Linked DNA regions of Nothobranchius furzeri. The protein of the gene in region 2 binds, or shares a complex with, the protein of the main gene of each other region. Links are inferred from orthologs where the notes say so. Each region holds a gene or a part of one and is shown on either strand. Other genes may lie near its edges.

The links.
Region 1: smarcd3b (region 2) and dpf3 share a complex: the UniProt entries of both Homo sapiens proteins name them as parts of the BAF complex. The link is inferred for Nothobranchius furzeri from reciprocal best matches to the Homo sapiens genes SMARCD3 and DPF3.

What each region holds. Positions count from the first base shown.
Region 1 is NC_091742.1:25,621,148-25,626,020, reverse strand, and holds part of dpf3 (zinc finger protein DPF3), read right to left. Parts: intron 3,372-4,873; coding exon 3,211-3,371; intron 1,127-3,210; coding exon 1,019-1,126; intron 1-1,018. UniProt on the Homo sapiens protein: Belongs to the neuron-specific chromatin remodeling complex (nBAF complex).
Region 2 is NC_091747.1:45,527,990-45,532,862, forward strand, and holds part of smarcd3b (SWI/SNF-related matrix-associated actin-dependent regulator of chromatin subfamily D member 3b), read right to left. Parts: intron 4,593-4,873; coding exon 4,550-4,592; intron 2,837-4,549; coding exon 2,714-2,836; intron 2,616-2,713; coding exon 2,490-2,615; intron 1,572-2,489; coding exon 1,476-1,571; intron 1-1,475. UniProt on the Homo sapiens protein: Involved in transcriptional activation and repression of select genes by chromatin remodeling (alteration of DNA-nucleosome topology).

The sequences.
Region 1 (4,873 bases), on a different chromosome or scaffold from region 2:
GTTTTACATCACTTAGGTTTATTTTAAGAAAAGCTGCTGACACTAAAAGCTCAGAGCAAAGCATAAAGAAAACCACTGTTTCATGACAGCTCCTCTGTGCATCTGTGCACACAGACAAACCTCTGCACAGGATGCATTAAATAAACATCAACCATCGAACAAAACAAAGGAGAGTATTCACATCCCCATGGTGTTATTGTAGATATTTGGGTCAACCTGCAAAACGAAACAACAAAACAGAAAAAGCTCCATCTCCTCGCTTTAAGCTGTAGAGATTTTCTGTCATGCACTTAGGTTGCAGCTCTCTTTCCTCAACTTAAAAAGGAATCATTCTTTGCAGAAAGCTCTGGAGTATTATATTGCGTCTGGAAGAGAGCGAGGGGTGAAACAATGGATGAGGAAAGCAGAAACAAAGCTATGCCTTTATCCACCATCTTATCAGGTTCCTGAGCATTCCTTTGCTTAAACCCTCTAACAAAAACTGTAAGCATGCACGGATGCACATCATAAAGCAATGCTGCCACTTCATACGACTCACATGTCATTGTCTTGTGAATAAATTACTATTGAGGCCTACTAAGGGTGCTTCTGAGCTGCAGCGGGGAGAAAGAGTCACATGTGGGGGGTGTTAGTATAAAGTGTGTGCATGCAGCCACAGAACAGCAAGAGGGGGGATTGATTCAGGGGAGCGAATGAACCTGGAGACCTGGTGTGAGAGATGGGATAACCAGAGCCAGATGGCCCAATCCTGAGAGAAATGATGAACATTTCTATTAAATTGACATTAGTTTGCAAAGGTGAAACAATGCATGAGTTAAAGTGGTTTTATTTGTGCAACGGTGTGTCAAAACCATCTTTTTGTGTGTGTGTGTGTGTGTGTGTGTGTGTGTGTGTGTGTGTGTGTGTGTGTGTGTGTGTGTGTGTGTGTGTGTGTGTGTGTGTGTGTGTGTGTGTGTGTGTGTGTGTGTGTGTGTGTTCGGTGCAGCAATGTGCCTGTATGTTGTTTGTCTTGTCTTACCTAGACGAAGCTCACACAGGCGGAGCTGGGGATCCAGGGGAGGGTGGAGTCGCCTCTTCTTTCTCCAGCAACGAGCAGGGTACGTATACATCTGTCCTGCAGCCTGGCCTGAAAAAACACACGTATGCAACAGGATTATAAGATTTCACACACACACACACACACACACACACACGAGCGCGAGGAGAGACATGGGCACACTGGAAGAATTTCAAAACCTACTGGCAAGGGTAACAAACCCTCCATTGAGTTTTGTACACACACACACACACACACACACACAAACCCACGCATGCACGTACACTGGTCCACGGACAGGCCTTGTACTTAAAGACATTGCTACTATCTCACTTTTCCTGAACATCAGTATGGAGAAACAAAGTGTATATCCAAATTGACTGATGAACAATTGGCTAGCCAGAGCAAAGCAAAGATCAAACTGCTCAAAATTTCATAATAGTTGACTCAAAGATTTTTTAAGCAAAGTTTTTTTAATTTTCACACATTTAGCATTTTTGCATAACACCAAAATCTACATGGAATTAATGCAGGGGTATCAGATGTACTCAGGCTCTCAGATCAGCTGAGGGAGCTGCCGTTTACGTCACAATACGTGATTGGCTGGACGTTAGCCTGTTTGGTTGGTCCTGACAAATTGCAGGACTTATGTTAGCATATAATGTGTGATATTTGGTCTCCTAAATAATCCAAGACTGTTTAAAATAAATAAATAAATAATTCTCAGCCTTCAAATTAATTTCCTTAGATGGGAATAATAGGTTTGGGGGCATTCCTGTTAAACATGGTGCTATTTTATTTCAGATAAATTACTTGTTTGGTTAAAGAAACAAAGATTTAATTTTAGTTTTTTTTTTCTTTTTTGGCATTGTTGTTTGTAAGTAAAAAATATTTCATCAAACACGTTAAAATCGTAGAATGCTCTGGCAAAGCATAATTATCTCCCTGCTCATAAATAATGAACTACCTACGCATTTAACCATAATCTAGGAGACAGAAGCAAAGGAGAAGAGCTTTTATGTCCACATGAGTAGAGCATCAAATAAAAATCTCAGGAGAAGTTGGGGGAGGAATAAGCCCAGAATAAATGCATATCATGTGTGTTAGGTCTGCCACAAAGTATAGGGTGTGGCCTGAAGGACTTTGCATGGAGATGGAGAGCGGGCTATTTCTGTTCAGGTCTCAGAAAAAAGCATGATTGTTCCCTTTGGCTTCTCAGATGAACCGCACGTGCGTAAAAAGTCTCGACTGCTCGATAAATCAAAGAAAAACCATTTCTGAGACATCAGAGTCTGATCTTATTGAAGAAATGGATGCATATTTACAAGTGTTAAAGTCATCCCTCATTTCTTTAGATTTTGTTTCAGATGAACCCGAACAAGCTTTTGAACTGGTGATCAACACTTCTTTAGGGACTTTTTGTACCTTTTAGGGCATTCCCTGGCCGGCCGTGAGACATAGTCCCTTCGGCGTGTCCTGGGTTTTCCTTTCGATCTCCTCCCAATTAGAAGTGCCCAAAAAACTTCACCAAGGAGGCGTCCTAATCAGATGCCTGAGCCACCTCAACCGGCTCCTCTCAACATAGAGGAGCAGCTGGTCTACTCCGAGCCCCTCCCAGATGACCGAGCTTCTCACCCTATCTCTAAGGAAGAGCCCAGGCACCCTGCGGAGAAAACCCATTTTGTCCGCTTGGATCCGCGATCTCATCATTTTGGACACTACCCAAATCTCGTGACCATACATCAGGGTAGGAATGTAGATCGGCCAGTTAATCGAGAGCTTTGCCTTCCGGCTCAGCTCTCGGGGCAGGACCTCATCCCTGACCCGGAGAAGGCATTCTACCCATTTCTGACTCAAGACCATGGTCTCGGTTTTAGAGGAGCTGATGCGAAAGCTGGAGATCACTTTCAGATGAAGCCAAAAGGACCACATCATCTGCAAAAAGCAGAAGCTGGTTCTTAAAATCTCATCCCGATAATTTCATGTGTTATATTTTAATTCCAATATCAGCCGATAATATTGAATAATGCTATTATTGTTTTGAGAGTGGAGTTTTTGTGTGTTTTTAAATTTTAAAAAGTGTAGAACTAAACATTTATTTATTAACTGGAGGGAAAATAGTGTTGTACCACTCGCCCACCACCACCCCACAAGCTCTCCCAGGTGTGTCTCACCTGGCCGACGGTGACGTTTCTCCATCCAGATGTAGCAGTTGTTCTGAGCCACGCCAGTTTGGGAGTCCAAGAAGGGCATTCGCACGCTGCGCTCAGCACAGAGGCGAGCATTGTAGCTGCGACAGTGTTCAATGGCCTCTTTATAAAACTGGTCACCGAGCCTGCAGAAACAGAGGAGGGACACAGATATAGTCAGGCAGCAGAGCAGGACGAAACCTGAACCCAACATGAAACATAACGGTTCCACTGAACATTTATGGAGGTCTTTATTTATTCATTTCATTTACCGGTACATATTTATTTTGTTTTGAGTACGGCAAACCACCGTTGCTATTATTTAGCACAAAACTGATTAATATTGAGTGTATCTGAAATGTTTAGCCTGGATGAGATTTTCTAATTCTTTATTTTGTAGAAAATAACATCAGAATTATGTGTATATATATATATATATATATATATATATATATATATATATATATATATATATATATCCTGAAGCCATTTATGTGATCTAAAAAAGTTTTAAAAAGAGCAGCAACACAAAATAATAATTAAGATTAACCCTAAAAGACAGAATAATCATAATAGGTTCCAGATTCTCATATTAGAGCCACAGGAAACATGTGACTCATATTGACATTAATTTATTTAATAAAACTGAGTAAAACGTGTGACTTGAAATGAAAAAAAAAAGACATGCAGAAAAATTTCTCAAACTTTTGAAAACAGAAGAATGATCCCTGCTCGAGTCGGTAAATCCTAAATATCCTGCTTCTGTGTTTACTATATCTCTGACCATCAAACCCCCTCTCGGGGATTTTTCCTCTCAGATATGTAAAGAATGCCAAACTGGACAAAAACCAGCTTTGGCAGAGTCCATAGACTGTTAAACCTCAAACATAGTCAGCAGAAATATTCCTCATTATGGTATAATCCCAGGATCTGCATAGGGAAGAAACCTGTTTACTGGGAAGAGTGGTAAGTGAAAGGATTAAATACTATTGGTGATTTGTTTAAAGAAGGGGTGTTTCTGCCACATGATAACCTGGTGCAAGAGTTTAACTTAGTGGGAAAGGGTCATTTTTGGAAATTCTTGCAAATGAGAAGCTGCATTACCTCGCAGCCGTATAATATTGAAGACAACACAGTAACTGAGGATGTGAAACTTCCAGCTAGAAAGCAAGTTAAAAATGATCTGGCAGAAAGGCCTTGGCATAATGATTTATAATGATAAATGGAAAACAATTGTTCTCAATCGTGGTAAGCATGCAATATAATGTACTACACAGATACTATCATACACCATCTAGACTGTTTAGAATGAAGCTAGTGGATGACGATTCATGTTGGAAATGCAAAAGGAATATTGGGACGTTTATGCTTTATATCTGGGAATGTGCTCCTATTAGATGTTTCTGGACTCGGATTGTCAAGATCCTAAGTAAGTGGTGTGGAACAGACATCCCTTTTGACCCAGAACTGTGTTTATTAGGAAATAAATCTCAGTTCCCTAATGTAAACAAATGTAATTTTTCAATCATCTCAGTGGGATTAATAACAGCCTGTCGTGTCATTTTAAGACACTGGAAAGCAGCAGAATCTCCAGAGATTAAGGAATGGCCGAATCTGCATCGTATGAATGTATGCTCAGCAGACTGAG
Region 2 (4,873 bases):
ACAGTTTGGAAACCCTTGTGCTTTTTAAAAAGCTAATGTTCAGTACTGCCTTTTTACAATGCTTTGATCACCTCAGAGAAACATTATTTGATTCTGCACTGACTAAGTGGTGATAATAAACGCATCTTGAGTCTAATTATGATCGTATTTTTATAAGAAGACTTGAACACAGACTAAATAAAACCACTGGAGGAGGTCGTTTGAGCGTGGAGCGCCCGCGCTGACAGGGAGCGCTGTGTTTGGTGAAAGGTTAAATATCTGCAAAGCAGCCATGCACGGAAAGCAAACCCTCAGGAGAGCAGAGGTTTAACCACCTGGCTAAATAACCGGAGTCAGAGTGCAAAATTAGACTGCATATTTTAAATATTATTGGCTTACATTAGCTAGCAAGGTGTTAAATAACTAAAACACCTATTATTTAAATCTTCAGAAACATTGACGTGTGGATTTTCCGTCCCTTCCGTGTCAGCTGACACGCTCCCCAACAGATCAAACCCTGAATGCGTCTCAGGGTGGAAAGCTGAATTCTTTTGATTGAAAACGGTTCAAAGCGAAGCACCTGAGCGCTGGGTTAAAAAGATGAAACCCTGAGAGGACGCGATTTCCACTCCGAATCTCCTGAAGTGGATTTCATAAAACACGTCGGAACATTTTTATGTAAGGTGAAGAGCAGCAGCTGGTTGTTTAAAATAAAGCAGCCGGTTTCTTCATTAGCATGTTTGAACAGCCTCGTGTTTCTGTTTAATTTCATGTTCAGCCAAAGCGGGATCGGTGTTCCTGAAGATTTAGCCAGACGAGACAAAATGTTGGGACGTCGACCTTGACTGAACGGCTTTAGTGATTTGTGCAGCAGAGAAAAGCTCTTTACTAGCAACGGAACAAACTGTTCAGGAAGAATGTCAAAATCAGGCGAAAAGTAGCATCAGTTTTTGAAAACATGGAGAATTTGGCTAAATTTTTCCAAAAAAGCTTTGTTTACACATAAAAAGTTATCTTATTCTGATTTATTCTACATTTTAAGGTGGCTAGCTACCAAAAATAGCATTTTTACCTTAAAACAGTCAAGAGAGCCCAGACAGACACCCAGCTGTCATTTGTTTCACATTTACTTTAAGTGAAGTGGAAAGCTAATAAGCTGCGGTTTTAGGAGGGTGTTATAAGCTGAACTATTTCTTGACTTCCTTTAGACTCCCCGTCAGACTGACCACCTTCTGACGCTGCTTTCATATTTCACTTTGAGGGGTAAAAACAGAGGTGTTGTGAAAAGTTTAGTGTCCGTTAGATCTGACGTCGTTGAAATGGAGGTAAAATGTTAATAAGAAGCTCTCAGATTTATTTTGAGTCACCTTTTAACCCAGCGGGGTTAAAGATTCATCCAAAAGATGCTGCTTGAAGGTGAGTTTGTGTGTTTTATTTATTTAGTTATTTTTGAGGCGGTGGGTGGCAGGCAGTAGTGTTGGGGTGTTTGTGCAGACCTCCACCAGGTGGTTGTCTGGCCCATACAGATCTTTGTCCAACTCGATCACCAAGCTCTTAAAAAACGAGGAGAACTTCTTCTTCTGCTTCCCGGGCTGTTGGGACAGACGAGAGGTGGTGGGTTAGGATCGGCTGTGTGCACGTGTGGGTGGACTCACAAATATAGATGAATAGATGCACTTTGTTTTTAGCTTCATAAGGTGTAAGAAACCACGAGCAGCTGAGTGAGATCACATTAAAACAGTGAGCAGACGTATAAAGAACCCACTTCCTCTGGACCTAACCTGAAAAATTTTTGGTTTCTGAAACTTTCGCGCACTTTGCTGCTGACATCATCAGCTCCTACGGCTCAGAACTAATTACTGTCATCTCTAAACACTCCTAAAACCAGTTCTTTAAAGCAGCAATTCAGAGTTTTCCCTCTTTCAGGAATTATATACCGTATGATCTTTTAGAAATTAGTAAAAATGATAGTTTTACATTGGAGCCAGCCCCCCCCGTTCCATAGAGCCCCATGCAATTTGAAGCGTTAGACATGCACCATCACCAAGTGGGCGCATGAGTTGGACGACGTACCTAGACTGGTGCAGAGAATAATAATTGTGTTTTACCTCTGTTGGCTAGCTAAAGGTGTGCTTTAACAAACGAGAGGTGTTGCTTCTAGCTGTGATCACGAGAATAGAGAGGGGCTTGTGGTGCAATACACTTTTCCTCCTCTAGACGGTGCCCTCTGAAATAAAACTCCAAAGTTAACTAAAAATGTCTGAGAATCAGGGTTCGAATCACGGGGGAGCTAGGGGGAGCTCGGCTCCCCTGAAAAGGTGATAGGCTCCCCCAGAAGCCCTCAACTGACACATCCCGAGGTAACCTCAAAAGTGATCTAGCCCCCCCCCCCGATGGCGCAATAATGAAGGTGATCGGACGGACAACAGCCCCCCCACCCAAGGAAACGGGGCTCCCCCAGAAGACTGTGTGTAATTCAAACCCTGCTGAGAATACATGAAAATCCTCACATCTTCCAGCAGCTTGCCCTCAACTCTCAGTTCCCATGATGCAATGCTGCCATCTGAGTCGTCCGCGTCGGGTCGAGCCGGGTTGAAGGTGTTAGAAATATAGAGCCTTAATTTACGCTTTTGCTGCTGACACAAATGGAACATTAAAGAAAACAGGTTAGTATGAAATCGCCCGAGGAGGTCCACTCCACCATCCCGATCAGATCTTTTTCTTCTGGTTTTACCTTCATCGGTCTCTTCAGCGCCTCCTGGATGTCCACGCGTTTACGCATGATTGTCTGGTCCAGTTTGCGCTCAAAGGCTAGCAAATCCATGTAGGCCTGAGATTCTGGTACCAGCTCACGGATCTGCGCAGGAAGGAAGACACTTTAGGAACATTTTAATCAGAACCTAACAGGAATGAAAAAGTCAGATTTTTTCGTTAAAAATAAAAATTGAGTGTGTTAGCTGATTCGTGTTAGCTTAAATATTCAACACATATTAGCTAACACATCTTAGTTACTACAGTAAAAATAGTTATTTTTATCAAACGATAAAAAGAGATAAAACCTTTGCAGTTTTTAGTAATGTCATAAACTTTACATCACACACCTTTAGTGCTTAGCTGCAAGTGTCAGTAATATTTGTAGACAATCAGTATCTTGCATCCAAATCAATAAACTATGTATGTATAATCAGTCTGATTTGACAGGCGTTTAATTAAAGTAGTCAAATTGAGTGCTTGAACTGTGTTAATAGGCTAGATTAGCAGCAATTAGCACTTAATCCCTAACATGTTGTAAGGTTAAGCATGTGTATGCAGCTAATTTAATGAGAGACTAGGCATGTGTATTGCTGGCATGATATACCACATATATCGCGATAGATTCAGCCAGATGTTATTAGGAATTTTTTTTTTAGATTGAAGGCTGTTGGCGGTTTAGCATCCAAGAAACAGCAGAGAACGCCTCGGCTGATAGAAGCTAACTGTTAGCATTAGCAACTCCACAACACAGCTGATCTCCTCCAGGCTTGTGTTATTTGTGGAGATAAAACATCCACATTGCAAAGCAAACAGTGGTAGAGTCATGTTGCTGTTAGCCAATCAGAGGCGAGATGTCCAAATATCAGGAAGTAAGACTCTAAATACCGCCGTGTTAAGCTGTCCACTGATGTGGCATTCTGGTGGTTCATGAAACAGGCGCATCTGTGCTTTTTTTCTCCACCGAGCAGGACTTACAGAGCATTCATTCCTGCTATAGATCACTGCAAATGTAATGATTAAATAAGTGTCCCACACATTTAAAGCACTTTAATGAGGTTGCATGGAAATAAAAAGCTTTAGTAGAAGCCGTCGTGTGTGTTTAACAGGCATGAGGGGATTAAAATGAGATTCAGTTTTTGCAGACAAACAGCCAGGACTCCAACATTACCATACAGATGAAAGTCCACCAAGCATGGCGGGCTGCTGCACACTGCTCCTACAGCTCCTCACCCTCCCTCCAGCTTCTTTCATCTTTCTTCCTGAGAGCCTGCCTTCATTGTTCCATTCATTCCTCCTCTATCTGCGTCTCTTTACCGGGCCGAGGTGCCGAGCCGGCGGAGAAGTGTGGAAGACATTCCCCATGCCTGACTCATTGTAGTGGAGTGCCACCCCATGCCATGACTTCTGCTATCTCTCTGTCAGGGTAACGTCAGAGGATAAGACCTGAACATAGACGCCCAGAGCTCAGCAGACTCACCCCTCTCTCTTACAGGATGCGGTTAAAAACCTGATGCTACAGGAAGAAAATCACAACCTGCAAACGCCACCAACTCACCTGCGACTTGTTTCTATCCCACTCATGTCTGCATCTCTTGACACACCCAAACAACCACTTCAATTTTAAACAACAAACACCCTGAAAACTCTTCTCCACTCCACCCATCCCTTCTTATTTTGGAAATAACAAATTATCATCCGGCCCCTGGCGCCGCCTCAGGACCCCGGGCATCGAAAAGGCGACCAGGATCTTTCTGCTTTGCAGACAAAAGGTAAAAGGATACAGAAACACAACAAAGATAAATACATGCAGCCTCACCCTTTGCGGAAGAATCTTGTCTGCCATTTTCCTTCTCTTAGCACTACAGACAAGGAGAGAAAGACAGAGAGAAAGAGGAAAAAGAGAGCATGTTACTATGGTGACTGATAGCGTAGCACCCAGGCCATCTGCTAAAATGCTGGGCCATATCCAGCACCCCAGCCTCCCAGCTGTGTGTGTGTGTGTGTGTGTGTGTGTGTGTGTGTTTCTCTGTCCGTGTGTTCTCTGAAATGCAGCGGTCCACCTGGAGAGAGTGAGCCTCTACAGCCAACAAAGTGTCAAGTCACACATCTTCTGCCACACACACACACACACACACACACA